Linked DNA regions of Stegostoma tigrinum. The protein of the gene in region 1 interacts with the protein of each later gene in a biochemical or structural test. Links are inferred from orthologs where the notes say so. Each region holds a gene or a part of one and is shown in the gene's direction. Other genes may lie near its edges. The genes, in order: pdzd2 and catenin delta-2-like.

Region 1 (16,863 bases):
TCCACTTCATTTGGGGGGTCGAGGATGGACCGGGTCCGCAGGGACACCATGTACAAAGACCTGGGAAATGGGGGAAACGGCGTACCAAATGCCACCCTCGCCCTGACGGCTACCTTTGTGTGCGGCTGCATCAAGCTGTGTGTAGATCCTCAGTACGCAAACACCAAGTGTCACTTCTTACTGAGGTTCTACCTGTCCCCGGTGTTGCGAAGGATGGGCCTGGCCTCGTTGCCGCGGTACACTCCGAGTAGTTGGACCGTTCCGTACCACCTGTCCTTCGTGGAGAAATTTTTGAAAGGAAACACCTTTGACCACAAGGCCGTCAGGCAGTGGTCAGGGCGTAGTATCCTCGGGGCCCTTCGGGAAAAGGAGAGGGTGGATCCCATCGTGTGGTTCCCCACGCAGACTGCCAAAGTCGTTTGCCAGAATGCCTCATCGCCAGAACTTTCAAACAAGCACAAGGGCATTGCTTGGCTGGCGGTGAGAGGGGCTCTGCCAGTGAGATCCTTTTATGCATGCCCGGAATCTCTGCGCCACCGCACGCTGCCCTCGAGGTGGCTGCGGGGGGATGAGACTGTTGATCACCTCCTTCTGGAGTGTGCCTATGTGCAGGAGGTCTGGAGCGGGATGCAGTGGTATTTGTCGAGGTTCGTCCCGAGCAGCTCCGTGACGCGTGACTCCGTGCTCTACGGGCTGTTTCCGGGGACGCACACCGAGACCAACATCAACTGCGCCTGGAGGACCATCAATGCGGTGAAAGACGCTCTTTGGTCTGCCCGCAACTTGCTGGTCTGCCAGCTGAAAGAACTGACCCCGACCGAGTGTTGCAGACTGGCGCACTCCAAGGTCCAGGACTACGTGCTGAGGGACGTGCTAAAGCTTGGGGCAGCCGCCGCCAAGGTGCGGTGGGGAAAGACCACCGTATGAACCCCCTCGTCCAGGATAGGAAAAAGAACCCTATCTGGTAACTGGGCCCAGCTGGTGCCTTCCCCAACTGGTCAGAGGGCCAACGCGGACTGTGCGTGGTGACGACTGCCGGGGTGGTTTCTTTGCTTTGTTTTTTTTTCTCTCTGTTTTGCTTTTTTCCTTTAGTTGGTGTACTTACCCCCTGGGTAACCTGGAGTGGCTTGCATGACTGGGTAGGTGTATAAATGTTTTATTTTTTGTACATTCTATGAATAAAGTATATTTTTTCAAATAAAAAAAGTGATGAAACGTCTGAAATCTAACCTGCCAGCTCAGCGAGCAAACTCACATCCGTTAGAACCTATTATCAAATATAGGAAGCTATTATCAAATATAGCACAGCATTTAGATTAGATTTAGATTCCCTACAGTGTGGAAACAGGCCCTTCAGCCCAACAAATCCACACTGCCCGTTGAAGCAGCCCACCCAGACCCACCCCCCACATGCCCCTGAATACTATGGGCACCTTAGCATGACCAATCCACCTAACCTGCATATCTTTGGACTGTGGGAGGAAACCGGAGCACCCAGAGGAAACCCACGCAGACATGGGGAGAATGTGCAAACTGCATACAGACTGTCGCCCAAGGCGGGAATTGAACCCAGATCCCTGGCGTTCTGAGGCTGCAATGAATTAAGGTAATCATGCAGATTCAACATGGTTTTGCTAAAGGGGAATCATGTTTGACCAATCCATTGGAGTTCTTGTGGATAAAGCAACACACTCTATGGATGTATTGTATTTAGATTTCCAAGATGTTTATGATAGATTCCCACGTTAAGGGTTATGGCAGAAAATAAAAGCTCATGATGTAGGGATGTTATTAGCATGGATAGAAGATTACTTCTTGTTAACCAGCCAATGTGTAGGTATAAATGTATCTTTTTCATGTTGGCAAGATGCAAGGATTGGCTTCACATGAGCTGTGCTGGGATCTCAACTGTTTACAATTTACATGAGATGGAAGATGTAGTTGCCATATTTGCTTATATCAAGGGTAGGAAACTAATTGTGAAGAGGACATGCAGTTACAGAAGACTTAGGTTAAGTGTGTAGTCCAATATCTGGTAAATGGAGTATAATGGAATAATATGGAATTATTCATTTAGCAGGATAAATAAAAATAAAGCATGTTGTCTAAATGGTGAGAGATTAGATCTGTGGTTCTGAGGGATCTGGATTGTAAAAAGCTGGATTGTTGATACTACACATAATCAGGCAAGATAATAGAATGTTATAATTTATTGAAAAGCAAGTGGAACACAAAAATAGGGAAGTTGTGCTTTGGTTGTACAAGGCACTGATGAGAACAGCCTTATCTACAAATATACCCTCAAGTAGTTATCTATGGAAATCACTTAAAGTAAATAAACCAACACCAAGAACAGCACCTTCTATTTAAAATTTGTAATTAAATTCTTAAATAGACCAATATAAAACACACTTTGGTACCAAATCTCATAAAGGTCTAATAAGCATATGACTGTAGGTTGGGCCTGAGTAAGCAGCATCTTAAAGGAGGAAGGTGAGATTGAGAGGTTTAAGAAAGCAGTTTGAGAACTTAAGGACTGTATATGTGTGGGCAGATCTGTCAATAGAGAACCTCAAATGATCAGGATTAAATGATTGCAGATATTCTGGAGAGTTCTGAGGCTGTAAAAATGGTCATAGATACTGTGGGATAAGGCCATGGAGGGATTTGGAAAAAAACATTAAGAATGTTTAAATCAAGATGTTGCTTAGAAGGGAGCCAATGGAGGTCACCAAAATACAGGGTTATGAAGTCACGCAGCATGGAAACACACCTTTCAGTCTAACTTGTCTGTGCTGATCAGATATTCTAAACTGATCTCATCCCAAATACCAGTATTTGGCCGATTATCTTTCTAACCTCTTCCCATCCATGTATCCACTCAGATGCCTTTTAAAAGTTGTAATTCTATCCAGCCCCACCACCATCTCCTCTGGCAGCTTGTTCCACACATGCACCACCTTCTGCGTGGAAAAAGTTACTCCTCGGGTCCCCTTTAAATCTTTCCCCTCTTACCTTAAACCTATGCCCTCTAGTTTTGGACTCCCCTACTCTGGGGGGGGGGAAAAGATCTTGGCTGTTCACCCTATCTATGCTCCTCATGATTTTATAACCTCTATATGTAGAGGTGAAATAGGCTGGGGCTATTTTCCCTGAGCTTCTGAGGCTGAGGGGTGACCTTATAGAAGTTAATGGCTGAATATGCAGGGACCACCCCCCCCCCCCCCCCCCCCGGCCATCCTGGGGAAAAGACCTTGTCTATTTACGATATCCATACTTCTCATAACCTTATAAACCACTATAAGTTTGCCCTTTAGCCTCTGATGCTGAGGAAATATAACCCTAGCCTATTCAGCATCTCCCTGTAGCTTAAGCCCTCCAATCCGAGCAACATCCCTGTAAATCTTTTCTGAACCACAGAACTTGGTGCAATTAAGGACAAATAGAGCAGAGGCTTGGAAGTTGTCAAGTTTATAGAGGATGAAATTTGGGAAATCAGTTCAGAGTTCATTGGACTAATCCAGTCTGGAGATAAAGAAGGCATGAACGAGAAGGTCAAGAATAGGATAAAGGATGGGAAGATTGCAATAACAAAGATGTCGTGGAACAAAAAGTAAATGAAGTGTTCGAGACTGTAGTTAGGAAACGAAGCATTTTTCCAGAGTGAATGAATGTGTTTGAACAAAATATAACCCTGTTCTCTTTTTCCTTTATTTCATTCATGGGATGAGGGTGTTGCTGGCTAGGCAGCATTCATTCCTAATTGCCTCAAGGGCATTTCAGAGTCAACTGCACTGCTGTGGGTCTGGAGTCACATGTAGGCCAGACCAGGCAAGGATGACAGTTTTTCTTTCGGGAACTAAAGGGGATTAGCAAAACAAGATTGGTTTTTCCAACAGTTGGCAATGGATTTATGATCATCATTAGACTCTTCAATTCCAGATATTTATTGAATTCAAATTCTCCAGCATCTGCAGTTCCCATTATCTCTCGCCACAATCTGCCATGGTGGAATTCGAACCCGGGTCCCCAGAACATTATCTCAGTCTCTGGATTAACTGTCCAGTGTCAATACTACTGGGCCTTCGCCTCCCCTTCTGTTTCATAGTGATCATATGAAAATCAAAACTAAAACATATCAAAATGGGCGACAAAGTTCATGGTCTGAAATTGTTGAACTCTGTATTGTGTCTGAAAGCTGTAAGGTGCCTAAGCGGGAGATAAGTTGCTGCTCCTGGATTTTGCATTGAACTTCACTGGAACACTATTAGGTTGACAAAATGTCTAGAGGGGTAAGCTTGTAAAAATAACTTTTGTCTGAATCATTTAGGATGTTATTTGCCATTTTGATAAAATCAGTTTCAGTATTGTGGCATGGTGGAGATTGACTATTGATTCAAACATGGAGTTTGAGAAAGATGGACACAGATTTGGGAGATAACAACATGTGCAAATGCTTTGGAGAGCAATTGGAAGTTGATGATGGGCTGATGGTTTCCAAGGATGGAAGGGGTTGTGTGTTTTGTTGAGGAGAATAGTGATGATTATATTTAAAGGAACTTTTCAGAGAATCCAAGGAACATGAGACAAGATTTTAAAAAAAAATCATGGCATATGGGTCTCACTGGCTGGGCCAACATTTTTTGCCAATCCTCGCTGATCTTGCAGCATAGTGGCTCAGTGGTTTCCACTGCTGCCTCACAGTGCCAGGGGCCCAGTTTAATTCCAGCCTCTCATAATTTCTGCCTGGAGTTTGTACATTCTCCCTGTGTCTATGTGGATTTAGTAGATTGACTATGTTAAATTGCCCATAGTGTCTAAGTAGGGGGTGGGTCTGGGTGGGATGCTCGTCAGAGGACTTGATGGGCTGAATGGCCTGCTTCCACATTCTAGGGATTCTATGAGAGATGGTAGTGAACTGCTTCTTGAACAGTTACAGTCCACATGCTGTTGGTAGATCCACAATGCCCTTAGGGAAAGTGTTCCAGGATTTTAACTCAGTGACACTGAAGGTATGGAGATATTTCCAAGTCAGGATGATGAGTGGCTTAGAGGAGAACTTGCAGGTGCTTGTGTTCTCATATATTTGCTACCCTGTCATTATAGATGGTAGTGGTCATAGGTTTTTAAGATACTGTCTAAGGATCCTTGATGAAATTCTGCATTTCACTTTGGTCAATGATGGAAGGAATGGCTATGTGTGCACATGAGCCACTCAAGCGGGCTGCTTTGTCTAGGATGGTGTCAAACTTCTTGAGTGGTGTTGGAGCTGCAGTCATCCAAGCAAGTAGGGAGTATTCTGACTTGAGCCTTGTCGTTGGGGGACAGGCTTTGGCAAGTTACCTGCTGCAGGATTTCTAGCCTCTGAAATGCTTTTGTGGCCATTATTTATGTGGCGAGTGTAGTTTAGTTTCTGGTCAATGGTAGCTCCCAGGAAACTGATGGTGTGGAATTCAGTGACGATAATATCATTGAATGTCATGAAGCAATGATTAGATTCTTTCTTGTTGGAGATGGTCAATTCTTGTCATTTGTGTGGGAGCATGGAGTGATATTGACTGGTCAGAGTTTATTGAGTTCTGAAGAAGTTAAATTGAGCTAAAAGCATTAATTCTGTTTTACTCTCTCAACAGATGTAGAGACCTACCAAGTTTCTTTAGCATTCTTCTATTTTTACAACCGATAGGAATTGGGTTGGAGAGAAACTGGAGCAAATTCAAGTCCAGGGCAGGGAGTGTTCTTTACGTTTGCCTGGTGACATAGGGGAAAGATAAGGATGGCTGAAGAAGCTGATCATTTGGTCTCAACCTTACTGCTAAGGAAGGAATATGCCACACATGCTGTTGGAGGTAAGATTGGCAGAGGCAGGACAGAAGATTTTTGAAAGGATGTTTGCAGAAGAGAAGAGTTGAAGAATTGTCTTTGTATCCCAGGGCGATCCAGTAAATGAAAACAATGAAAGTATGTTCTTGATTATCAATAATTATTTGAAACAGTATAATTCAACACTTAACCATGCCATTCTAACAGTTAGGCTTTTTAATAGGACTTTTGCTTCTACTGAGGACTGGAGTATCTATTTATTTTTACAAGAGTGGATGTTATTGATAAGTATTGGTATGGATGGAATTCATCCTTGGAATTTACTGATGCCAGGATAATTGAATGCCTGCACTCAACGAGAGGCTGATGATAATGTTTCAGATTTTTATTTGAATATTGGACTACTGCTCAATTCATTTAATTCCTAGCTTTAAAATAATCAAAATACTGAATACTGCAAACCATAGATCATAGAATCCCTACCCTGTGGAAACAAGCGCTTCGGCCCAACAAGTCTCCACCGACACATCTGCCTATAACCCAATTTAGCATGGTCAATCTAGCCAGCCTGCACATCTTTTGACTTTGCTACAAGTATAACAAATTGTTGTTCTACAGTGAAGATAATAAAATGTGAGGCTAGATGAACACAGCAGGCCCAGCAGCATCCCAGCAGCACAAAAGCTGACGTTTCGGGCCTAGGCCCTTCATCAGAGAGCCCGAAACATCAGCTTTTGTGCTCCTGGGATGCTGCTGGGCCTGCTGTGTTCATCCAGCCTCACATTTTATTGTCTTGGATTCTTCAGCATCTGCAGTTCCCATTATCACATCGTTGTTCTACAGTAGTTGAATTTCGGAGATTCAATGATCTCCACCACACGATAAGCCGAAGTAGACCACAGAAGTAGAACCAATTTTTTGAAAACGCAGGGTCATGCTTGTAGAGCATCTACTTGGGGGAAAAAATGACAGCGTTTAATTTCTTTTGTTGTGAAATACCAAACTACGCGTTGGAAGGTTGTATTTACTCTTTTCAGCATGCACTCTATTTTGTTATTGTTCCCTAGTGCTGGAGTTGAACAAAACGCATGCAGTCTCGGCAGATATGTTTGCAGTGTATATCCTTCAGAGATCCTCGTCAACGTTCCCACGGTAACCCTGCCACATCTGCGATCTTTGCTGGATCTTGCAGCGCAGCAACAGGCTCTTTGATGTCTGCAAAATAAATAGGTTTTGTTACAGAGAGACGCTGCCTGTGAAGTTTATATCCACCAGAAAGGTTAACCTTCCATTTTTGAAGGCTGTGGGAGATTTATATTGTCCAGCTCGGGCTGTAACTGAAGCCCGAATCACTTGGCTAAATAAATGTTTTAAAGCGAATAAGTTTTCTGCGATGACCAGTTTGCAATTTAGGGTCTGTGAATTAGGAATCAGTCGATTAGTTCATATTTCCTGTAATTCATCCATGAATCTATACTCAAATTGTTCCTTCCCCATCACCCTAATGTGTAACGACAATTTACTTCATCTTTGATTAAAACGAATAACGGAGGAGGCTGGCGATCTGAAACAAAAACAGAAATTGCTGGAAAAACTCGGCAGGTCTGGCTGTATCCATGGAGAGAAAGCAGAGTTAACTTTTCGAGTCCGGTAGTTTGATTTTTCTCCAGAATTTCTGGTTTTGTTACTTAATCTTTGCCTGGTTTCTGACATTTAAATAATTGTCACTTTAGAAACACGCCTCAGAAGGGTCCAGAACCTAAACGTCAGCTTTCCTGCTCCTCTGATGCTGCCTGGCCTGCTGTGTTCATCCAGCTCTACCCCTTGTTATCAGAGATAATGGGAACTGCACATGCTGGAGAATCCAAGATAATAACATGTGAGGCTGGATGAACACAGGCCCAGCAGCATCTCAGGAGCACAAAAGCTGACGTTTCGGGCCTGGACCCTTCATCAGAGAGTCTAGGCCTGAAACGTCAGCTTTTGTGCTCCTGAGATGCTGCTGGGCCTGCTGTGTTCATCCAGCCTCACATTTTATTATCTACCCCTTGTTATCTCAGCTTCTGCAGCACGGCAGTTCCAACTATCTCTGTAACATTAAAACGTTTTATTTTCCTCAGTATTATATGTTACAATAAATTATAGGTTGCATACTAAATGTACAGCCGCTCCGTGCTTGCTGATAGCCATTCAGTCGGTTACAACCCGGTGTTGGCTTTGGGCAGAGGGGGCTGTGTTGTGTGAAGAAGCAGAACCACCGCTATCGGATCCTGGCAGGTCACTAGCAGATGACGGCTCGAGCTCAACTTGGTCCACGGAGACTCGCCCCACTGCTACCATTGGACTAGCTCCGACCGGCCGCAGAACCGATTGGCCCGAGCGAGCTGTCAATCAGCAGGTTTTGTCATTGGAAGGGCGGGAACGGCTGCTGCAGGAGCAAGCGGCGAGGAGAGGGCACCGAGTTCTCCAGTGAGCAGGTAAGGGTCGTGTACAAGGAACACCAAAAGTTCAAAAAATCTCCGACTCTCTCTTGCGTTCGTCATAACCAGTAGATTAAAAAAAATACCGGGAGTGGCAATATCTAAAGTGTGTAAATTTGAGTGACGGTTGGGAGGTTAGGATAATGTCATGTGTTTGAGAAAAACCGTAACTGGACATGCATAGCAAAAAGGAGAGTACCGTGTGAATTAATTCAGGTAAGTGATTGTTTGGCAATTTATTTTCATCCCCGAGGATTAAGATTTTCCTGCCTATGTTTATCTTGGTGGTTGCGCATGCTGTTTTGTGGATTGCGCTGCTACTTATCTTGAAATACGAGCTGTCGAGGAGAAATTTTGTTAGATTGGGATCCGCAACTTGATAATCGTGATTCCTAAGTCACAGTTGGGTGCAGTTTGAAGGTAAATCTCTCCAGTATGTCGCTGGACGATGCCAAGCACTGATTTACGTCCGTTTTGGTTCACTAGCTATAAGTTCAATTTACAAAGGGCCGTAACGTAGTAAAACAGCCCGAATTTTTTCACCAGAACATATACCACCGTTTGATGCGGAAGCATTTAAGAATCTGTTAGGGCAGGTGACCAAAGCTTGTTCCAAGATGATGGTAAAACGCATCTTAAAGGAAGAGAAAGAAGTGGAAAAGTTTAAAGAGGAAATGCTTGAGATTTGACCCCAGGTGGCTGGCCGGCACTAAACCTCAGCTGCAGAAATAATTTTAGGTGAAGTAATTAAAAATTTTGTGCAAGAGGACAAAGTTGGAAAGTACAGAGATAAATGTCTTGCCCATTTACAACCTTGCGAGCTGATATTAAGTCTTTTAACATTTTCATAGCCTGTTTAATGAAGGAAATAATAAACGTAGTTAAACAAAAGACGTGAATGGAGTCTGCTCATGTTTAAAATCAAATGTTGAGTAGCTGTTTCTCAGTTCTGGTTATGATTTCCCCTTGTTTGATGTTGCTTTTTTCATTTTTGTACACTGTTGAGAAATTACGAGGCTAAGCCTGCTTGTGCTTGGAGAAGATGAGACCCAAATTGCATGATGCTAGGAATTCCTGGCAGTTTTTTAATTGGTTGTGCAAAAAGTATTATAAAGTAGCAGAAATATCTATCCTAATGAGCCGAGCCAAATGAGGAAATTTTAACGATAGTAGGATCTGCAGACACTGGAATATCTGAGATAACCACGTGTAGAGCTGGATGCTGCTTGGCCTGCTGAGGAAATTTTAAATCTCTGAAGTGCTCAGTGATACAATTCCGCGCTCTCAAAACCAGTAGGGACTCTCTGAAACTGGAAGCCCACACAAAGGTTTAGGACAGGTACTTCTTCAAACTTGCATGTGTGGATTTCAGCTGTACAATCTTTGTACTTCTAAATTAATTTAGTTTTTACTTCCTAAATCTCAACTGCAGAATGAATTTAATCTATTTTCCATCTATTCATTTTTTTTCCTATTTTCTGTTTTTAGCCATTCATGATATGTGGACTTCACTGATGGGGCCAGTATTTGCTACCTGTCCTTGGTACCCTTGAGAATTGAGCTGCCTTTTTGTGCCTCTGCAGCCCATTTGGTGTAGGTAGACCCACAAATGCTGTTAGGGAGAAAGGTTAAGGATTTTGACCCAGTAACACTGAAGGAACAGCAATATACTTTTAAGCCTGACTAGTTAGTAGCTTAGAGGGCAACTTGCAGCTCGTGGTGTTCCCATGTAGGAGCTGCCCTTGTCCTTCTGGATCGTATTAGTTGTAGGCTTAGAAGTTGCTGCTTAAGGAGCTTTGGTGAATTTTATTAAGCATAAAACAAGGCAGGACCTGGATGAGACATGGCAGGGCAAGGGCAAGAGTGATGTTGTGGCTTGTATTCAAGTGTTTATTTTGTGTTGACAATTAAAATGTGTGAAATCCTTAAAAACATTGTGTAAGATATCTTTGCAAGGTACAAGTGAGTTGAAAATGGAATAGAATTTTTTAAAAAGTTACTTGCGTTTAACTAGAAGTAATTGCACTCAAAAGCCAGTTCAAAATATGACCAAATGTAAATCTGATGCACACAGTTGGAGAAAGACTTGAGACCCTGAGTACCCAGTGACTCTCCATTGTCTATGTTGGTAAGTATTTTGGTAGGGTTTGAATTCTAGAAATTGTAGGCACCTACTTATTGGGACTCTAAAATTCAAACTACCCCTTAACCAAAAATATTCATGGAGGTTTGAAATGACAGAATCAGGAAACTAAATTGATTGATATTGAATAAGATACAAATTTTATTTATTTCAGGTATATGTTCCATTTAAATCAAGCTTAGAAAACAGAACCTCTTCAAGCCCTAGCTGCAACCTTTACATGGGTTCAAGATTTCACACAGATCGATTGATAACATAAACTTATATCAATATTTCTTCCGGTGCTGAGATATTCTTAGCTGATTGCAGAAAGAATTGTAGTGTCAATATACACTGTATCTGTGATGTCTAAGTTGTCATTTTAGAAGTAAGTTATTGAAAGAATATAGTTTTACTGAGATCAGATGACTGAATTTGGAAGTTGCATTGTTCATGTTACATTTGAGTTTTATATAACTTACATTCTGGGGCTGTCTTTAAGGTGAAATGAAGGGAATTGTGTGACTTATTTTGTCTGTTTATAGCAAGTGTGGATGGTTTAATTATGTTATATTGGAGGGGATGCTGTTTCACTGGGAAGAACGAATTAGGGGTATGTTTGCTGAGTTTGTAGATGATGCAAGGGTAGTTGGAGGGCCAAGTAGCATTGAGGAAGGAAGGAAGCTGCAGTAGGATTTGGACAGGCTAGGATAGTGGACAAAGAAGCGGCAAATGGAATTTTTATTTTTCTTCATTCAGGGGATGAGGGTGTCACTGGCTAGGCAGCATCTATTGCCCATCCCTAATTGCCTAAAGGGCAGTTAAGAATCAGCCACATTGCAGTGAGTCTGGAGTCACATGTAGGCCAGACGAGGTAAGGATGGCAGTTTTCTTCCCTAAAGGACATTAGTGAACTAGATGGGTTCTTCTGATAATCGGCAATGGGTTCATGGTCATCATTAGATCCTTAATTCCAGATATTTGTTGAATTCAAATTCCACCGTCTGCCATGGTGGAATTTGAACCCGCGTCCCCAGAACATTACCTGGGTCTCTGGATTAATAGTCCAGCGATAATGCCACTATGCTATTGCCTCTCCTTAGAAATAAAATTTAGGAAAATGTGAGGTTATGCACTTTGGTAGAAGAATAGAGGTGAAGGCTATTTCCTAAATGGGGAAAAGCTTCAGAAATCTGAAGCACAGGAGGACTTGGGAGTCCTAGTTCAGGATTTGCTTGAAGTTAACGTGCGGGTCCAGTTGGCACTTAGGAAGACAAATGCAAGATTGGCATTCATTTCAAGAAGCCCAGAATACAACAGCAGAAATGTACTGCTGAGATTGTATAAGGCACTGGTCTGACTGCATTTGGAATATTGTGAACAGTTTTGGGGCTCTTATTTGAGGAATGATGTGCTGGCTTTGGAGGGGGTGACCTTTCCAGACCTGCTGAGTTTTTTTCCCAAGGATTTTCTGTTTTTGTTTCTGATTTTCAGCATGATTTATTTTTTGTTTAGTTGTCATAACTTCTTGTTTTTAAACAAGAAGCGAGAGACTTTATTGCTTGTGAACCAGTTGCTCCATGCCTCCTATGAAGAAGTGTGTGAATTTGAAGGAAAAAATCAGAGCACTGGTGGTCTTGGGAAACAAAAGGAACACTCCAGTGAATCCTGCTGTTATTGAACAGTTTCCCCAGTATTTTACTTGCCCCTCCCTGCAGAATATCAAATTTATTTGACTGTGTGTGTGTGCGCATACAAGTAATTTTTTATTCATTACCAGGATGTGGGCATCACTGGTTGGGTCAGCATTTATTGCCCATCCTTAATTTCCAATAGGGATGTTAAGAATCAACCACATTGCTATTTTGTTTGGAGTCACATGTATGCCACATCAAAAAATTGTGTTGGATGTTATGTCAGTGTGCTGGCCTTATGGACGTGCTATGATGCTGCAAGTTGAAAATCAAATCTTAAAGTAATGTGGAGCTGGCATGCTGCTGGCTTGAATTAAATAGATGCTTCTGTACTTTTGAACTCAAAGATTAACAGGGTTGAGTAATCACCGTAGATCCAAAGGTGACCTGATAGATGAATATTAACACAAAACGTAAGTGCAAGTTGTAGAGTCTAACAGGATCTGAGATGACATCCCATGAATGTTCTGGAACAGGGTCAAAGGTCACACATGTATGTTAGGTTTTTGTGGATGCTTAGCAATAACATCAACAGTTAACTTTGTGGTCACCTGTTTAAACAAAACTTCAGCTAAATGACTGAAATCAGATAGGAAATCATTATCCCATGAGTAATTAGCTAACATTTCTATTTTCACTTTTTGTTATACTGTTCACCTTGGAATTGATAGATATCACTGTTACTTAGCGTAGACAGGCCCAGTACTTATGTTGTGATGCCATAATTAACAAAGATGAAACTTGCAGGAGTGTGGGAATGCAATACTGTTTTAGGGATGGCTGTGAAATGAGGCATTTTCGGCACTCCAGAAGAACTAATTGTCTGTCTGTAACTTCCTTTGGCATGCCTGGAGGTTACAGAAGATGATATATAAATGCATGTTTCTTGTATAGCACACAGTTGATTTTCTGGCATTAAAAAGAGAAAGTATGAGAAGTGCATACAATTAATTAGTCACTAAAAGGAAAAGACAGACTAACACAGCCTGTAGGATGGTTGAGGCAGTTAACATCACACCCTTCAAAACGTACTTGGATAAGTACTTGAAATGTCACAAGATTCAAGGCTCTGGGCCTAATGCTGGAAACTGTAGATTTAGTATAGCTTTGGAAGTATAAACTTGATGGGCTGAATGACCCCTACTGTGTGATTCTACGGACAGTTCAGACATCCAGACAATGACAGAGAGAACAAATTGCAGCACAGCACAGGAATGAGCCCTTTGGCCCAAGATGTTATGCCACACATGACACCAAATTAGACTAGTCCTTTCTACCTCCTCTTCTAGGTCCATATCCCTCCCATTTCTTGCATATTCATGTGCTTATCTAAAAGTCCCTTAAACACCCCTATTGTATCTCCCCCTACCACCACCTCTGGCGGGTCATTCTAGTTTCCTACCATTACGTTCTGATTGTCAACCCTATCTATTCGTCTCATGATTTTATAGACTTTTATCAAGTCTCTCGTCAGTCCGTCGCTCCAGAGAAAACAACCTAAGTTTTTCTAGCATCTCCTTCAAACTCGTACCCTGTAATCCAGGCAGCATCCCAGTAAACCTATTCTGCACCCTTTCCAAAGCCTCCATATCCTTCCTGTAGTGTGGTGACCAGAATTGAACATAATATTCTAAGTGACGCTTAACCAAAGTCTTACAAAGCTGCAACTTGATGTACTGACCCTTGTACTCATTTTCACGACCAATAAAGGCAAGGGTGCTATACGCCTTCTTTATCATGCTATCTACCTTTGTAGCCACTTTGAGAGCTGTGGATTTGAACCCCAAAATCCCTCTGTACAATGCTGTTCAGGGTCCTGCCATTAACTATGTATCCTTAGCATTTGATCTCCCAAAGTGCAACACCTCACACTTACTCAGATTAAACTCCATCTGCCATTTTTCTATCCATGTCTGCAACTGATCCCTGTTTCGCAGTATCCTTTGACAGCCTTCTACACCATGACAACTCCACCAATCTTTATCATCCACAAACTCACTAACCCACCCGTCTATATTTTCATCCACATTATTTATATGTATGACAAACAGCAGAGGTCCCAGTACAGATCCCTGAGGAACATCACTAGTCAGTGACCTTCGGCCTGTGGAATTCATTGCCATGGAGCACAGTGGAGGCTGGGATGTTAAATGTCTTCAAGGCAGAGATTGATAATCCCTTGATCTCACAAGGAATTAAGGGCTGTGGGGAGAGTGCGGGTAAGTGGAGTTGAAATGCCCATGATTAAATGGCGGAGTGGACTCGATGGGCTGAATGGCCTTACTTCCACTCCTATGTCTTATGCCTTAAGGTCTTATCTTTATTCATAGCTATCTTAAAACTTAAGGAGTTGTGATCGCTGTTTCCAAACTTCTTTCCCACTGAAAGGTCATTCACATGGCCAGGCTCATTAGCCAATAGAAGGTTCAGTATGGCACTCCTCTAGTGAGACTAGCCACATGCTGTTTCATGAAACTCTCTTGAATGCGCTTAATAAATTCTGCCCTGTCTAAACCTCTTCCTCAAATGGAATCCTAATCAATATTGTGCAAGTTGAAGTCACCCACTGTGACAGCCCTATTGTCACTGATTTCCGTAGTTTGCTTATATATTTGTTCCTCAATGTCGCGGTTGTTGAGGGACCTATAATATAATCCTATTAGAATGATTGCATCCATCTTATCTTTGAGCTGTACCCACCTTGTTTCAGTGGATGAGCCATCTAGTATGTCCTCTTTGAGTGCAGATGTGACATTCTCTCAGATTTGTAATGACACTCCTCCACCTCTTTTATGTTCCTCCCTATCTCATTTAAAATAACAAAACCCTGGAATGTTAAGCAGCCAGTCCTGTCCCCCCCTCAGCTGAGCCGCTGTAACGGCCACAACAACAAGAAAGCCACACCGGCCCCAAAATGACTTTCCACATCAAGCAGATGTTCACCTGCACATCCACGAATGTGGTATACTGCTACCGCTGTACACGGTGTGGCATCCTCTACATTGGGGAAACCAAGCAGAGGCTTGGGGACCGCTTTGCAGAACACCTATGTTCAGTTTGTGGGAAACAACTGCACTTCCTAGTCGCGAACCATTTCAACTCCCCCTCCCATTCCTTAGGCGACATGTCCATCCTGGGCCTCCTGCAGTGCCATAATGATGCCACCCGAAGGTTGCAGGAACAGCAACTCCTATTCCACTTGGGAACCCTGCAGTCCAATGGTATCAATGTGGATTTCACCAGCTTCAAAATCTCCCCTCCCCCCACTGCATCCCAAAACCAGCCTAGCCTGTCTCTGCCTCCCTAACCTGTTCTTCCTCTCACCTGTCCTCTCCTCCCACCTCAAGCCGCACCTCCAGTTCCTACCTACTAACCTCATCCAGCCCCCTTGACCTGTCCATCCTCCCCGGACTGACCTTTCCCCTCCCAACCTCCCCACCCATACTCTCCTCTGCATCTGTCTTCTCCTCCATCCATCTTCAGTCCGCCTCCTCCTCTCTCCCTATTTATTTCAGAACCCTGTCCCCATCTCCCTTCTTCTGATGAAGGGTCTAGGTCCTAAACATCAGCTTTTATGCTCTTAAGATGCTGCTTGTCCTGCTGTGTTCATCCAGCCCCACACTTTGTTATCCAGTCCATATTACTGCTTAGCTAACATCTTAAGCTAAACAATGCCTTTGTTTTAATAGACTAAATGGATGAATGTAGAAAGGATATTTCCTGTTGTGGGAGAATTTAGAACGAGGAGATCCTAAATGAGTACTTTGTGTCAGTATTCATCCAGGAGAAGGAATTGGAGGATAGTATGATTAAGGTGCTAGGGAATTTTGAGATCGAGACGGAGATGGTGGTATATCTCTGAAAGAGCACCACAGTGGATAAGTCCCCAGGGAATAATGGTATGTACCCAGGTTTTTGAGACAGGCAAGAGAGGAGATTGCTGAGGCCTTGACCAAGATCTTTGTATGCATTGTTTAAAAGTAAAGGGCATACAAGTTAAAAATAAAAGAAAACTTTTTCTCAGAGGATTGAGTGTCTTTAGAATGCCTTTCCTCAAAAGGCAATGGATATAGGATCTTTGCCTTACCACTGTCTTAAAAATATGCAGTTTTAAAAACAAAGCAAAGAGCATAAATGCGTTGAAGATTACTGGGAAGCCAGAGGATTGGGAAGTCTTCAAAAGTCAACAGAGGATAACTTAAAAGAGCACTGGGGAAGACACTGGACCGCTGGAAAATGAGACTTGCAGTAGTAATGGGGAGCAAAGAAATAGCAGAGGAATAGATACTTTGCATCAGTTTTCACAGTGGATGACATCAGCAGCATGCCAGAACTTTGAGAGTCGGGGCAGAGGTGAATGTAGTGGTCATCTCAAAGGAGAAGGTGCTGAGGAAGCTGGAAGGTCAGAAGGTGGATAAATCACCCAGACCAGATGGACTACACCCCACAGTTCTGAAGGAGGTAGCTCAGGAGATTGTAGAGATGTTGATGGTGATCTTTCTGGCATCAGTCAAGTCAGGGAGTGCCAGGACTGGACAACAGCTAAATATGACACCCCTATTTAAGAAGAGAGAGAGGCAGAAGATAGGAAGTTAAATGGATGTGAGTTTGCTCGCTGAGCTGGAAGGTTAGTTTTCAGACGTTTCGTCACCATTCTAGGTAACATCATCAGTGAGCCTCTGACGAAGCGCTGGTGTTATGTCCAGCTTTCTATTTATCTGGTTAGGTTTCCTTGGGTTGGTGA
Region 2 (16,650 bases), on another chromosome or scaffold:
CAGAATGCCAGGTCTGTACAACAAAACGAGAACAGAACCTTCCATTAGTTCAGTCACCCAGGGGAGCAAATGAAGATTTGTGTAATTCTATGTCGACAGATGTGTCTACAATATCACAGCTATCACACATTGCAGAGCTTGAAGGCGAACTTTAATCATGCAAGACGTTGATCTCGCAACTCCCATGTGAAATCGTGAGCATTGAAGTTTCAGTGAAGTTTCATGGAGGGTGAAGAATGCTCCATCTATCACAACCGATGCCAACCACATGCGATACATCTTCACATCATGCACAGAGACCGTGAACACAACCCCGTAATGCTTAGAAAAAAATAACCCTCAAAAATGCCACGTCGAGATGACATTCAATAACTGACAGCAATTTACAAAAAGCTGTCAGGGAAAAGAATATACCTAAGTCTAACACAAGCTGGAGGAGCAGCATCTTATTTTCTACTTAGAGATCCCGAAGCCTTCAAGATTGCATACTGAGTTTAATAATTTTAGGGACTGACATCTTCTTTCATATCCTTTAGCTACCTCCATACCTCAGGCCTTATCATTCACACAGGTTGCTTTTAGCACAGCCAACCTATTCTCACCCAGTTAGGGTCCCTATCATCAGTTTTTCTCCTTCCCTGGTTGGCCATTGTCCATCCATTTGTTTGTCTAACCACTGTTTTCTCTCACACTCTCTCTGGGCTCCATCTCCACCTATTGCATACTCCGTTACCCCCATGCTCTGTCTTCAACATAAACACACCACATTTTCCTAGCTACTACTTGTTTTGATGATGTCACTGGACTTGAAACATTGACTCTGTTTTCTCTCCACAAATGCTGCCAGATCTGCTGAGTTTCTCATCATTTTCTGCTTTTGTCAGTTAAATATAACAATTAGAAGACCAAGTAGTCAAGCTTTGAGAAGCACAGAATGTCTTGTCAGAGTTTTGATTTAAACATATGAAAGAACTTGAAAAGATTAACATTCAATAGGAATTGTGATGATCTAACTACTACAAAAAGACCATTCACCTAAAGGCCAAGGGAGTAACACCCAGTCAAAATAATCAAATCTGGGAGGCTACAAAGGAAAATGTTACAGTCAGTAGAAATTCTCAATGGAGCCAGCCAGTATCCTCACATAACTGAAGCAATAAAGAGTTACAATAAAAATGGCAGAAGTAACTCTTTTACAGTTCACAGAATATTATTGAGAGGTTTTCACTTCTTGTTAAAGTGGCAATCACCTGCACAAGGAAGAGGATCTTTGAGAAAAGACTAAGAAACACATGAGGAAAAATCCCAACTGGACATCCAGTCTGCAGACCAACGCTGTGGAGAAATGTCTTATCGATTTGACGTAAAAATGCGTCCCCTCTCCAATGATGATGCACATCTGCTTTTTGATGGTAATTGTAGACATTCTTGTCTATTGAGACGTAACCAACTTAATCAATCCATGCATTCACTCTACAAAACTAGAACAAACATCCTCATGCATCCTGTGCACCCTCTAAGAGAGCTGAAAATGTTATTAGAGATTAATGCCTGAAGGCAAAAAGACTTTACTGCTTTGGAAGATATCATAAAAATGTTAGATGTTTAGACTTAAATGTTATTCGTAAAATGGGGTAAAAGTACTATGGGAAAGATATAGAGTAAGTTCATTGTGATCCCTGCTCCAAAAATAGCAACTTCATGTGAGCAAGAGACATTATGTCAAAGTGACATCAGATTAATTGGAATTAGAGCCTTTGTCTGTAAAGCTGTAGAACTTCTTTTTTGCCATATCTTGTAAATAGTTACAAAAATAACATCTGTTAAAATTTACTCTGATGACTGTCAACTATACTTCTCCTGATAGGCTGGAGATATTTCCTTCAGAAGCGTGCGGACTGAGCAGTGGCTCAACAGAGATCTCCAAAATTATGAAATGGTAATCAAAGTAGCCGTGGGAAAGATGAGTTCATTTGTGGAACTGACCAACTAGGAGGTGTGCAAATTAGAAACAAGTAAATACAAAATGGAATTCAAGGGAAACCTTTTCATCCAGAGAGTGATTAGAATATGGGACTTGATGCCATTAGGCAAATTCAGGCAAATAACGCAGGTATTTATAAGATGATGTTAGATAAATCCATAAAGGAGAAAGAAATGGACATTTATTAGTTGGTTTAGAAAAGGAGGTTGAAAGAGATTCTTGGGACATAAAGGTTGGTATGGATTGGTTGGGTTGAATAGCATATTTTGTTCTGTACAAGTTTTCATATTTTTGGTTGCAACTCAACATGCCAGCCATCATTTTATTCAAAAATCAAAACTTCTCTTGAAGTGATTTTTCACTATAATCTTAGAATTGTAGTTATGTCAGGTTTTACTTGTACTGTGTTGTGTAATTTTGCAGACTGTGCTGGCAACTAAGCTGTGTTTGACTTCAGCATGGTTTACAGTATGCATTATTTTGAATATCAAAGTCAGTGCTTTTGCCATTGAATTTCAATACTGACAAATACTTGGCATAATTTTCCGCTACAGCATAACACAGCCATACTGGAAGCATAGGCTGTATCTGTGTGGCATTTTTAAAGCAGTGAAACATCCCTAAACACTTCACAGGAGCATTACCAGGCCAAAATTATACACTGAATCACCGTTATCTCTGTGATAACTCAGGAAGCCCACCTGGAAAGGAATGTCATTTATTATTGAACATCAAAACAGATCCACTACTCAAGGTGTACATAAACAACTGCTAGCCTAGGAGAGAGAGTTTATATTTTTAATCAAACTGTTCAGATGTATTATGATATACCTCAGGAGCAGATGGGTCCTAAACCTGAGGTTTCCTGACTCAGAGGTAGAGACACTATCATTGCACTACAAGAGCCCACTGCACCACAATTAACCTGTTCAGACATTATATGACATACCTCTGGAGCAGATGGCACTTGAACTCAGGTCTCTGGTCCAGAGGTAAGGACATTACCACCGTGCCACAAGAGCCCTTACTGGATTACCAGCCCAATTCCATTACCACTTTACCAAAGCCAATAGAGTTCATAAGTGCATTCTAATTAACCAGTTCTGAGATGTCACTAAACACCTCTGGAAAAGGTGGAATTTGAACCCAAGCCTTCTGGCTCAGAGGTAGAGACATTACCACTATGCCACAGGAGCCACCAATAGATAGTTTACTATACCTTTTTTTTCAAAAAGCAGCCAGTTCAGAGATGTTGTGATGCATTTTTGGAACAGGTGGGATTTGTAACCAAGTTTCCTCACACAGAGGGAAGAAAACTACCACAGCACTATTTACATATATGTATGTATGCAGAAGTGTTATCACACACAACCGGTTTTCCCATCATCAAATTGTTGTGCCATTTTTGTTTTTTAAACTATCAACTACAACCAGTAAATCAACCATGTGTTCAATTTGAAGTTTGCATGCAAAACCTTTAACTGGCAATACAAGCCATCAAAGTGAGGGGGGGCTAGGGAAAGCAGGAAAGAACGAAATCAGAATGGTTTTGGAGGGGGAAATAAAGCTCTGTATCTCCTTGGTGTCCACCTTTCTTGAAAGGCATTAAGAGTATTGCTGGACACCACATGCTGCCTCTCCTCGGACACCTAGCCACAAATGTAACTGTGGAAGACATGCAGATAGTTGGCAGCTCTGACTCACTCTACATTCCATTGCCTGGACATGTTAACAGCCAACCTGGCCAAGTCTAGGAGCAGACCCGCGAGGAGGTCCTTCAATTTACCCATATGCCACTGCACATGATGTGTGTGACTGAAATGCAACCAAAAATGCAACAAAAAGATGTTTCACATGGCCAAAAGTGGGTGCAGTCGCCAATAACCAATACATCCATGTTCCATGAACTCCACAGTGCCACAAAATGAACAGCTGGGTTGGGAGTCAGTGAACCACTACAATCTGCAGTCATATGGGGGTGCTGTATGCCACACGCACCACTCAGGTCTCTGATGGAAAATGTAACAACTCATACTTTGAGATCCCTCCACTGAGGTTCATTTTGTGTCTACTTTATTTTCTTTTAATATCCAGAAATGTTATCACAAACAACTAAACGATTTTCCCCCCACCCAATCACCATGACATTGTTTGCCCATGCAGCCAACTAGAAGTTTGCAATGCAAAGCCCATTATGAGTACTGTAAACCATCAACAGCGAAGAAGGAAGGTAGAGCAGGGTGAGTGGGATCCTTATGGCCTTCTTTCTGTTGGATGTAATATTAGACAACAATGTGAAATCACCCAGATGTGTAAACTAATTGCCGAATAGAAATGAGTGGCCCCATACCTTTTCATGCAATACCTATCTTTACCTGCCCTCAAGCCATAACTTTGTTGAAAGCTTCCCTTGATATCATTAACCTATCACCAGCTCTGATGAAAAACTTGAGCATCAAACCTTACTGACATGATTGAATATAAAGACAAGCATGTTGCAAACGTCTTAAATCTATTTGATCTAAGTTAAATTTTCATCACTTAAAATGTGAGCGTAATATAAATACACTAAAGTTATCACTTATTACTTTCTTGCCTGTGCCTGGTGTCTTTCTACTTTGAGCTCTCCTAGCCTTTTTCAGTTTCTATCTATTTCTATTCTGTCCAATTCCTCCACCACTTCTGTGCTGTGACATTAAGAGCATTATCATATTCACTAAATACAGATTGAAATTATTTAGTATTGCAAACATATCCTATGCTTCTGCAAGATTGATTCTTTCTTTAGGACTGTAATCTGGCTATGCTTCCATTGACTATCCTATTATTATTCATATATTTATAAATGACTTTGGACTCTGTTTTATGTAATCCATTAATCTGATCTCTCACATTCTCACATTTAATTGATCTATGTAATTGATTTGCCCACACTTCCTTTATGCTTCAATAAAAACATAATTTTAATCGATAAATTTCTGTTTATATTCTGATGTATAATTAGTCCTATGTGTTCAGTAGGCTCTGGTTGTAAATATTGGCCCAAATATTATTCCACTGGGAGGAGAGACCCTCAAATGACCATATGTCTTTGACAAGTGTTGGGATCCTGACAAAGTCAGGCATTTGAAGCATGTTGGAGGTTAAGGAGGAAGGAGAAGACTGTAAAGATTGAGGAAGAAGGGGGAATACTGTTGAAGAGTAAGCGAGGGAGAACACAGTTGGCGAGTGAGCAGGGTATGGGTAAATACGATCAACAATGAGAGCGGGAGGAAGAATACTAGCGAAACATCTGTGCTGAAGTTGACATTGGAAGATGCAAAGGTTCCAGTGTGAAGCAGAAAGTGGACAGTTTCAATTACACTCAGCATTAGGTGCACTGTCTCCACTGCTGACTGGAAGATGTGGGCCGAATGATTTTGTTTTCAATCATTAGGCCTACCCTCTGGTTTCCTCTGGTCTGCAACACCTGAGTACAGTGCCATCACATCATTCTCAATTGGAAACATTAGTTCCTCCAACTTTGAAAAGCTGTTGATTTCAGAACCAGCTTTAGGACTAAAAGAACATAATCCAAGTTGAAAGTTGCATCAGCGCTGAGAGCAGGTGGTATCCTTAAATGAGACTTTACGCCGAGCTCAGTTGGTTAATGTAAATCCTAAAATATCCCACGAAGGAAATCTTGGAACTTCTGCAGTTGTTTTAGCCAACAATAAAAATCAGGGCCTTATGTATCCTCTGTGATTTCAGGACACCACTCCTGCAACCCCTTCACAGCAAGTAGCTAGCAATAATTACAACAGATAACTCCATCCATATGATCAAAGTCCTGCAGTGCAGTTGTGATATTTGATCTTCCAGCATATTAATCAAACCACCATTCATGTCTGCTGCAAAGTATCTGTCTCCAACGCAGGATGCTATACCAAGTTGATTTTTGTTGCCCAGGAACGGGCCTTAACAAGCTAAATATTTCATTAAAATGAGTAGGTAAAGGATTTTGATAAAGGAAATAAGCAAAATGTTTCTACCTGTAGGAGAGTTGATAACAGGAGACCATTATGTAAGGTAATTGAAGCAAAGGAAGTGTGAGAAGAGAAGATTGTCGTGCATGCTTCAAGTTCTAATTGGCTGAATACCATTTAACCATCTTTTAATTCATTCGTGAAATCTGGGCATGTGACCAGGCCAGCATTTATTGCCCCTCACGAGTCAACCATATTGCTATACATCTGGCGTCACATATAGGCGAGATAAGACTAGCAGACTTCTTTCCCTAAAGGACATGAATGAACCAGACTGGTTCTTATGACCATTAACAGTGATTAAGTGGTATTTTCCTTTATTAAAAATTGAATTCAGACTTCTCAATCAACCGTGATGGGATTTGAACTGACTTCTCCTGAATGTTACCTTGGAGGTTCTTTTGATTTATTTATTTGTGGGATGTGGTCATCGCTGGTTGGGCCAGCATTTATTCCCCATTCCTAGCTACCCATAGGATGGAGTTGAGCTGCCTTCTTGAACTGCTACCATTCAGGTACTGTGGGTTGACCCACAATGCCGTTAAGGAGGGAATTCCAGATTTTGATCCAGCTACAGTGAAAGAATGGTGATAAATTTCCAAGTCAGGATGGTGAGTGGCTTGGAGGGGAACTTGCAAGTCGTTTCTTGATGGAAGTGGCTGTGGTAATGGAAGGTGCTATCTGAAGATCTTTGGTGAATTTCTGCAGTGCACCTTGTAGATAGCACACATTGCTGCTACCGAACGGTGGAGAATGCTTGTGGATGTGGTGTCAATCAAGCAGGCTGCTTTGCCCTGGATGGTGTCAAGTTTCCTGAGTGTTGTTGGAGCTGCACCCATCTAGACAAGCAGGAGTTATTCCATCATACCCCTGACTTGTACCTTTTAAATAGTGGACACCGCCGAGGAGTCTGGAGCTGAGTTACTTGTTGCAGTATTCCAGGCTACTGTATTTGTATGGCAACTCCAGTTGATATTTTGCAACTGCACTGCTAGCCCAGTGACATTACTACTGTACCACCACTTCACCAATGATTAGCTCCTGAAAGCCTTTATCACACGGCGAAACTCTAGGACAAAAGTCTTTTTTTTCCTTCTTTCCCAGAGTTAGTGTAACACTTCTTTGTACCTATGCCTGTTCCAGAATCTCAAACTCCAAGATTTGGCCTTCCCTCCGCAGATACCAAACAAACTCTATTCTGCATTAACCCCAAGTAAATTTCATTCAATAGCTGACATACTTTTGTCTGCTAAGCTTCACCTTACCCCATTATTGCACTGGCTAGGCTTTTTGATCTGATTAGCTCAAAACCCTCTTTTATGGACTTACCTCACATCCCCTTTATTTCCTGCTGTAGCCAGAGGTTTGAGTTCACACTGTCCGTCCTTCTGCATCCCAACATCTGAAACGGGATGCTATAAAGTCCATTTTATGTTGAAAATGTTAATTGCTGCTGAATAACATACATCAATTACTGCCAACAGGATTCACAGAAATGTAAAGTGTTAGTCAATTTTGGAAGCTATTCAAGTGACCATGGGTGGCACGGTGGCTCAGTGGTTAGCACTGTTGCCTCACAGGGACCTGGGTTTGATTCCAACACCAGGTGATTGTGTCGAGCTTGCACATTCCCCCATGTCTGCGTGGGTTTCCCCCGGGTGCTCCAGTTTCCTCCCACAGACCAAATATACGCAGATTAGGTGGATTGGCCATGGGAAATGCAACATTCTAGGGGTAAAGTCGGGGGCTTATGGGTGGGATACTCTTCTGACGTTCAGTGTGGCCTTGGGGGGCTAAATGGCCTGCTTCCAACCTATAAGGATTCTATTATCCTATGTAATAAATTTCTGGTGAAAGTCGCTGTGAAGGAACCATTTGTTCTGAGTGATGACTGATTTTGATGGATTTATTTTGACACTCAAACAAGAACTTTTAAGAATGTAATGATGTCACCTTTGAGCCATTTTGTCTGCACTTAGATGATGTTCTCAGAGTCTAGCCATGATAATACATTGCGATGCCAGCTAGGTGCCATCACCGTGGCAACCTGCTTGGTTGTTCCAAGCACTTGCAATGATAGCATTGATGCTAGCTTCACTGCATACAGAATCTTAGAAGAATCTGAGAAAAATTAAACCGTTAAACAGAACAGTGAATATTTTTTCTCTTCTTGTTATTCCACTCCTCCTCCTTGTTTGTTTCAATAAACAAAGGGAACTAATGTGCAGTATTTTCTGTGAAGACCCTGGATTAATGTGCACACTTGAAATATCAAGGCTGCTATTTCTCCTTCAGTTAATGGTCATGAATTTGCAAATGCTTACAGAACCCAAAGAGCTACCAAATTCAAAATTACCGACAAAAGTGCAACTTTTAAAATCACAAGAATGTTCATATTAATTACAAGCCCTGTTTCATTGCTTAGCTTTAAAGGAATGCTGGTGTTGAGATCCTGATTTTTGTGATACTTATTATTAAATAATGTGATTGTAGCTATAGCTTGCAATCACCAGAAGCCATACAATTTCGCGCCCCAGCCTATTTTTAAAAAAATGAAAATATCTAAATGTTTGACAGATTTAGCTGCAATTCAATAATCTCTTCTCTCAAAGACTAAAGTGAGTGGATGCTGTGGGGAATTAAGTGTTGCACTGTGCAGCAGAAGAGAGGGTGCACTTTGTGAGATTAAGAAAGGGCTGCATCTAGATTTAAATTAACACAGGGGACTGTTCTAAAATAATTGAAATCCTTGAGTTGTTATTTCTCTTTCTCATCCTATGCCATCTTTCCAATTGATAATCACAAAACTTACGTAATAGGAACATCCTGGAAAGACTATGTCTGACTCTTTCCTGTTGATACTTTCTATCTGATTGCCAGCTTGCCGTGTCATTGCAGGGAAATAACATTGACTTTAATGTATGTTCAAATTATAGTACAACACTCTTAGGCTATTTCTTGATTATGCCGAGATTCTCAACTGGCCAGTAGTGTCCTGCTGACTTCACATTGTGACTTTCTTGGAAGAAACCAGCATGTGTCAATATAAAGCTATGTTCATAAACCCATTTGTGCTGCCAGCAATAATTTGCAAATGGTTGAGGCACAAAAGATGGTTAGGCACTAAACATGGCTTTGCACAATTTCTGCCTCCACCTAATTCTTCTGTCATTTTAGAGATGTTTTCTTAAGGGTAATTTTTAACTTGGCTAATGGTGTAGATCAGGTAATATCAGACTTGCTATGTGTTATGCACCTCCCCTGGGAATGAACACTTGGGAGAACTATGCAACCAGTTGCAGCTTCAACATCATCTGTCCTATATTACTGGCAAGTAAAATTACTCATATTATCCTTAATGTCCTGCAGTAAAAAATATGTTCTGCAAGGGCATGAATGTCTTGTGCTAAGATGTTGTGTACAGTGGTGAGTAGACTTCACGGAACTGAAAGTATAGAGATCAGTAAACCCAATAATGCAGACCCCTCAAACATTTTCATCCATTCATGTTCATTTCTCAAACCTACCGTTGTGTTTCAAACCTAATTTCTTAAACTGGCTGCCTGTTGGGTGCATAGGGTGAATGCATGTTCTGTAAGAATTGCAGAAACAGCAAATGCCCACAACCCAATGCTATTTGATTACTTTTAACCAACGTGCTACACTTAAGATAGTCCACTTTACTTGAGGTCAGAAATTTTTGCAACCAGGTTCTCCAGTGATGGGATTAACAAAGTTTGTTCCACCTTATGTATCCCAAAATGGGCACTGTGCAAGAACATTTAAAAGATACAAAAAGGTTTTTGGGTGCATCAATGTCTATCCCATTTGCTAATGGGATACCTGCTAGTGAGTGACACCTGGAATTGTGGCTTTTCCAAAGCTCCTTAGATGTGAGAGCGTGGTTAATTGTGCAGCCAAAGTGAAATCCTGTCTTAAAAATCTAATCATCCCCGTTCCAGGAAACTAGCTAGTATTCTGATGAGAATGAGGACAATGGGCTTGAAATCCCATCCTGACCCTTATACAGAGAAAATCAGAGAAGGGGAACTAAAAGCCCTTGGTCTTTAAGAATGATATCACAAGTCACATGAGTTGAAGCATGACTGATGTACTTTGATAACCTTCTCAATAGCAGCAGTGTTGTCAGCTGTTAACATTTAAAGGCCAGTGCACACATGAAAGAAGCTGAAAATAGTAGCCATTTCATTGTCAGATTAAATTCATGGACGGCTTCAACTTAACTTGTTTGAAAAGTTTTCCATCTCATGGTAGGTTTTCATTTTCTATACAGCTCAAACTTGGAATCTTTCGTGGCGTTTGATGGTATTCTTTGTAATCCAAAGATTTTATCAAATGTTATGACTTTGATGCTTACTCACAGCAGATGATAAGATTGTGTAAACATTCATCAGAGCATAAAGTTTGGAGTTGAAACAAGCAGATTTGAAATTATTAAGCAGAAAGAGATTGAATCAATAGTGGCTGGTCATACATCTATGAGAGTATTCTCAATTATCTTTTATGCTGCAGTTGTGAAGATCCTTATTAGAGAAGAACGGCTGACACAGTTGAGTAAGACATTAACATCTTCCAACATGTATAGCAGTAAGTTCTACAAAAGTGACCTCTTATTTCAGCTGATCTTGATGACAACTTTTCACATCTTTGTGCTGAAGAGATTTATTACAATTGGAAGGCAATGAATTTCAATGAAATATAGAACATTACAGCACAGTACAGGCCCTTCGGCCCTCTATGTTGTGCCGACCTGTCATACCGATCTCAAGCCCATCTAACCTACACTATTCCATGTACGTCCATATACTCATCCAATGGCGACTTAAATGTACCTAAAGTTGGCGAATCTACAACCGTTGCAGGCAAACCGTTGCATTTCCTTACTACTCTCTGAGTAAAGAAACTACCTCTAACATCTGTCCTACATCTTTCACCCCTCAATTTAAAGCTATGCCCCCTCGTCCTCGCCGTCACCATCCTAGGAAAAAGGCTCTCCCTAACCACCCTATCTAACCCTCTGATTATTTTATATGTTTCAATTATGTCACCTCTCAACCTTCTTCTCTCTAACGAAAACAGCCTCAAGTCCCTCAGCCTTTCCTCGTAAGACCTTCCCTTCATACCAGGCAACATCCTAGTAAATCTCCTCTGCACCCTTTCCAAATCTTCCACATCCTTCTTATAATGCGGTAACCAGGACTGTACGCAATACTCCAAGTGCAGCCGCACCAGAGTTTTGTACAGCTGCAGCATAACCTCTTGGTTCCGGAACTCGATCCCTCTATTAATAAAAGCTAAAACACTGTATGCCTTCTTAACAGCCCTGTCAACCTGGGTGGCAACTTTCAAGGATCTGTGTACATGGACACTGAGATCTCTCTGCTCATCTACACTACTAAGAATCTTACCATTAGCCCAGTACTTTGCCTTCCGGTTACTCCTACCAAAGTGCATCACCTCACACTTGTCTGCATTAAACTCCATTTGCCACCTCTCAGCCCAGCTCTGCAGCTTATCTATGTCTCTCTGCAACCTACACCATCCTTCGTCACTATCCACAACTCCACAGACCTTAGTGTCGTCTGCAAATTTACTAACCCATCCTTCTATGCCCTCTTCCAGGTCATTTATAAAAATGACAAACAGATAAAAATGACAGCCAGGGCATCTTTATACGGTTACCATATATACACCATTTATACGACTTTCTCTGATCTTCATTTTGTCATGGGAAGGTGTGATCAATGCCTGGTGGGAACAGCAATAGCACAACACTAGAAATTTCACTATCATTCGTTGGGGATGAATAGCACTTCTGTCGCAGTCAAAACAACAAGAGTTGTGTAAAATCTGAAAGGGGACACCCATTCAGTTTTTCTGTTGCCCACTTTGCTTAGCACCTTTCCTGTCAGGAATTCAGCACATTAAGGATCATATTTTGCTGCTTTAATCCTGTAAAATCCCATGGTTGCTGCTATGTGTGATATCTACCCTGAGAAAACTCTTCTCATAGATACATAGAAAATAAGTACAGGAGTAGGCCATTGGAGCCTGTGTCACCATTCAATATGATCATAGCAGGTCATGCAATTTCACTAACCCACTCCCGCTTTCTCACCATACCCCTTGTTCTCTTTAGCTGTCAGGGCCACGTCCAGCTCCCTCTTGAATATATCTAATGAACTGACCCCAACAACTTCCTGCAGTAGAGCATTCCACAGGTTCACAACTCTGAGTGAAGAAATCCTTCCTCATCTCAGTCCTTACCCCTTATTTTTAGACTGTGACCCCTAGTTCTGGACTTCACCAACATTGCTAACATTATTCCTGTCCAGTCATGTCAGGATTTTACATGTTTCTATGAGATCCCCCCTTCATTCTTATAAATTCCAGTGAGTTCAAGCCTAGTCAATCCAGTCAATTCTTCATATATCAGCCCTGCCATCCCAGGAATTACTCTGGTGAAACTTCACTGGACTTCCTCAATAGCGAGAATGTCCTTCTTTAGACTTGGAAACCAAAATTGAACACAATATTCAAGATGTAGCCTCATCAAGTCCCTGTATAACTGTGGCAAAACATCTCTATTCCAATTCTCAAATAATCTCCCTTTGAAGGACAACATGCCATTAGCTTTCCTTACTGCCTGCTGCATCTGCATGCCAGCCTTCAGCAACTGTTCCACCATGATACCCATGTCTCGTTCCACCTCATCTTTTCCTAAGCTGCCACCATTCAGATAATCTGCCTTCCTATTTATGCCACCAAGGTAAATGACCTCACATTTATGCACATTATGTTGCATTTACCAAGTATTTGCCCACTCAGCCATGTTGTCCAAGTCATCCTGCAGCCTCTTAGCATCCTCCCCATAGCACACACTGCCATCCAGCTTAGTGTCATCTGCAGATTTGGAGAAATTCTTTTGCTTTCCTGCTTTCCTTTGTCCAAATCATTAACGTATATTGTGAACAGCTGGGGTCCCAGCACTGAACCCTACAGTATCCACTTGTCACTGCCTGCCACTCTGAAAAGGACCCATTTATTCCAACTCTCCGCTCCCTGTCTGACAACCAGTTCGCTGTCGACATCAATACATTACCTCTGATACCATGTGCTTTAATTTTGCTTACTAATTTCTAGTATGGAATCTAGTCAAAAGCCTTTTGAAAGTCCAGTTTCACAACACCCACTGATACACCCTCGTCCTCTCAACTTGTCGCATCCTGAAAAAAGTTCCAGAAGGTTTGTCAAGTCTGATTTCCCTTTGGTGAAAAGCTAGTTCCAAAACTAATAGACCACTAATTTGGTATAAAAGTTGTATTTTATAATAAAGCATTTCGAACTCGAAGCAGCCATTAAGCTGCTCACCAAACTGGCATATTCGTCATGTGTGCAAATCTCTGTGCTTGTGTCTCTCTAGGATAGGTACGTCATTTATCTCTCCTCTCTAGATTCATTGTCTTTTGTATTACCAATGATTGAGGGTGGAAATTTAGTAGTTTATGACACCGGCCAAAGTACTGTTATTATTAAATTCCAGTTTGTCAGGTCAGCTGTGGCAATAATGCGAACTGAATATATTCCATTTGGGGTGACTGTGAGCTAGTTGGAAGCTCGTATCACCAAAATTCGTTTCCATGACAAGTCATTCTTGACATTGCCTGTACAGTTCTCCATTGGTCTTCCTCAGCGTGGTATTCCATATTCCTCTGTGTGCAGACTCGTGAAAGGTGTTAGTGATTTTCATTCTTGAAATGTGCCTGAACTATCGCAGTCATCTCACTTGAATTTTCTGTATAGGTATTGTATATCCAAGTTTTTTGTTGTATTATGGTGCTTGATATAACATAAGAGACAATGTTAGTTATCTCAGTTATCTTTTTCTCTTTATGCTTTATATTTGCTCAGAAAGATATTTTAGCTTGTGTTTCAAATGCAATTGCAAATTAAACACCCATTCGAAGATGCTCGGCAACTATTCTAATTGCAACTTGCCCTTTCAATGGAACAGGTTCCTTTTGAAAACTTGTATCAAAAAAATTACATCGTATAAAAGGTAAATGCCTTTATGGATGAAGCTTGTTTTTTTGAAATTGGCTGTGGAAATGGAATAGAAATTCTCCAGAGTGCTTTTTTCTGCCTATTGATTTTGTTTTGCCTATTAACCTTGTAATTTTTCTGTTTATTTGTCTATCTCAGGAAATTGCAAGGTTATGAGTCAGGGAGTAGGGCTTAAAGGAGTTTTTAGTGTTGTGAGAAGGTCTATGCTGAGGGAGGGAGTGTGGATGGAGATACCAGGCTCACGTACTGCTGTGTTGTGATGTCTTTTGATGTAGAAGTACCTGTGAAGTCAGGAAGATGGCAGTCCTGAATGAGGTCAAGGGGAATGGCCTTCTATCAAAGGGTCCTGGTGGAGAAAGTCAAGGACAGCCTTCAATACCAGTCCATATCTGCACCACCCCATGCACCATGACCTCCAGGTCCCTGCCCGCAAAGGAGTACAACAATTTTCCACTGTCTGCTATGTCCGTGGCAAATATCATGAACTATGCAAGGCTGCTCTAACTAGACGTGTTAGTCTGGGTGCACAACTACCTTGTAAAGGTGGCACTGGAACCAGATACATCCCAGATGTGGTGAGTTGTTCCCGGTATGGTGAGTGGGAGGATCCGATGGAATTCCGCCACAGCGGCAGGGTAGATAACTAATGATATGAGATTAGGAACCCAGTAGGCCTCAAGGCAGTAATCGCTTCATGACCTCAAAAGCCAAAAGCCAAAACAAACCTAAGATGCAGCCCAATGTTTCATCTTGTGGGAGACTCTATATTTAAGGATCACTGTGTGGAAATAAGAGATCATCTATTTAAGACGGTGATTTAAGAGCTTTTGCACAGAGTGTTATGTATCTGTTGATCTCCTTTTGTGACAATGTGGAGTTGAAGATAGAATCCGATCAGCCATGATCTTCCTAATGGCCGAATGGTCTCAAGGGATGACATGGTCTATTCCTGCTGCTGATGCGTACATTTGTATTCAGTTCTGATGAAGAGTCACTGGACTCAAAATGTTAACTCTCCTTTCTTACGACAGATTTTCCCAGACCTGCTGAGTTTCACCAACAATTTCTGTTATTTTTTTCAGATCTCCATTATCCACAGTTCTTTGTTTTACATTCATTTTCTTAGTTCACCTTTTGGTATTCTGAATTTTGGCCAAATCTACTTGAGGTGCTGAGCCCTCACAAACTTTAAAATTCTCTCCCCAAGTTCCCGCACCCAAAAATTAACATATTTATTCAGTGATGAGAACTCCCTCAAAACATACCTCTGATTGGATCTTGAATGGACCATCCACACACACAAACTTTCCTATTCTTGATTGTATTTGATTCCCAGTCAGTTTCTACTGCTGCGAAGTGACTGCCTGAGGTAGGAAAATAAACAATAGATACCCAGGATAAATAATAACTAATGATAATAATAACATTATGTTGTGGCTGTACATGATGTTGGTGAGGCCCCTTGACGGGTACTGTGTCCAGTTCTGGTCTCCATTATAGGAATGATATTATTAAGCTGGATAGGGTTCAGCAGAGATTTACCAGGATGTTGCCGGGAATGGAAGGTTTTAGTTATTGGGAGAGACTGGATAGGCTGGGACCATTTTCACTAGAACATAGGGGTTAAGACGTGATCTTATAGGGCTTTATAAAATCATAAGGGGTATAGATAAGGAGAATGGCAGGTCTCTTTTCCCTAGAGTGGAGGATTTCAAGATTGGTGGAATATTTTTAAGGTAAGAGGGGAAAAATTTTAAAAAGACCTAGGGACAATTTTTTTTAACACAGAGAATGGTTCGTGTGTGGAATGAACTTCCAAAGGAAGTGCTGGCTGTAGGTACAGTTACAATGTTTAAAAGACATTTAGATAACTACGTGAATAAGAAATGTTTGAAGGGATATGGGCCAAGTGCAGGCAGGTTGGACTAGTTTAGTTTGGGATTATGGTCAGCATTGGTTGGACCAAAAGTTTTGTTTCCCTGCTATATAACTCTTCGACTTTAAGAGAAATGTGCTTTGGAGATAGTATTCTGTTACATGATGAGGTATGGAATTGAAAACTGTTGATATTTTTGTACTCACCTTGTGACACACCCATCCAGGATTTGCAATAGATTTCTCTTACTGAAAATGAAGAAAAGCAAAAGCATACTGATGGTGGAACAGTGATCCACAATGATGACCTATCACGCCAGGAACAATGTATTATGACGTACAAGGCATTGCCATTTCACAGACCAATTTGGATAGGCCAGAGGGCTGTTTCCTCTCTGTCATTTTTGTAAGTTCACATCATTGTAAAAGACAATTGTTGCTAGAACAGCCATGTTTCCATAGCAACTCTTTGCTTCCACTCAATCAGCAAAGGAAATGCAGAAAAATTACTGAATGTGCAATCACATACTATCCTTGGGTAAAGTCACTATGCTGAGGTGGAAGACTATAATCTAATTGCAGTGATGTTTATAAACTCCCAGACTCTTTACAATGCTTTTTCTGGTTTAACTTTAGCACCTAGATTTCCAATGACTGAAATATAAAGTTCCCACCTCTGTT

Evidence for each region.
Region 2: the proteins of pdzd2 (region 1) and catenin delta-2-like form a complex in vitro, tested with the Homo sapiens proteins (2 studies listed by BioGRID and IntAct, with this or other methods). The link is inferred for Stegostoma tigrinum from reciprocal best matches to the Homo sapiens genes PDZD2 and CTNND2.

Annotation. Positions count from the first base shown.
Region 1 is NC_081354.1:140,702,204-140,719,066, reverse strand, and holds the start of pdzd2 (PDZ domain-containing protein 2), read left to right. Parts: upstream 1-8,269; 5' UTR 8,270-8,300; intron 8,301-16,863.
Region 2 is NC_081355.1:24,921,100-24,937,749, reverse strand, and holds the start of catenin delta-2-like, read left to right. Parts: upstream 1-10,197; 5' UTR 10,198-10,234; coding exon 10,235-10,280; intron 10,281-10,542; coding exon 10,543-10,617; intron 10,618-16,650. UniProt on the Homo sapiens protein: Has a critical role in neuronal development, particularly in the formation and/or maintenance of dendritic spines and synapses. Involved in the regulation of Wnt signaling.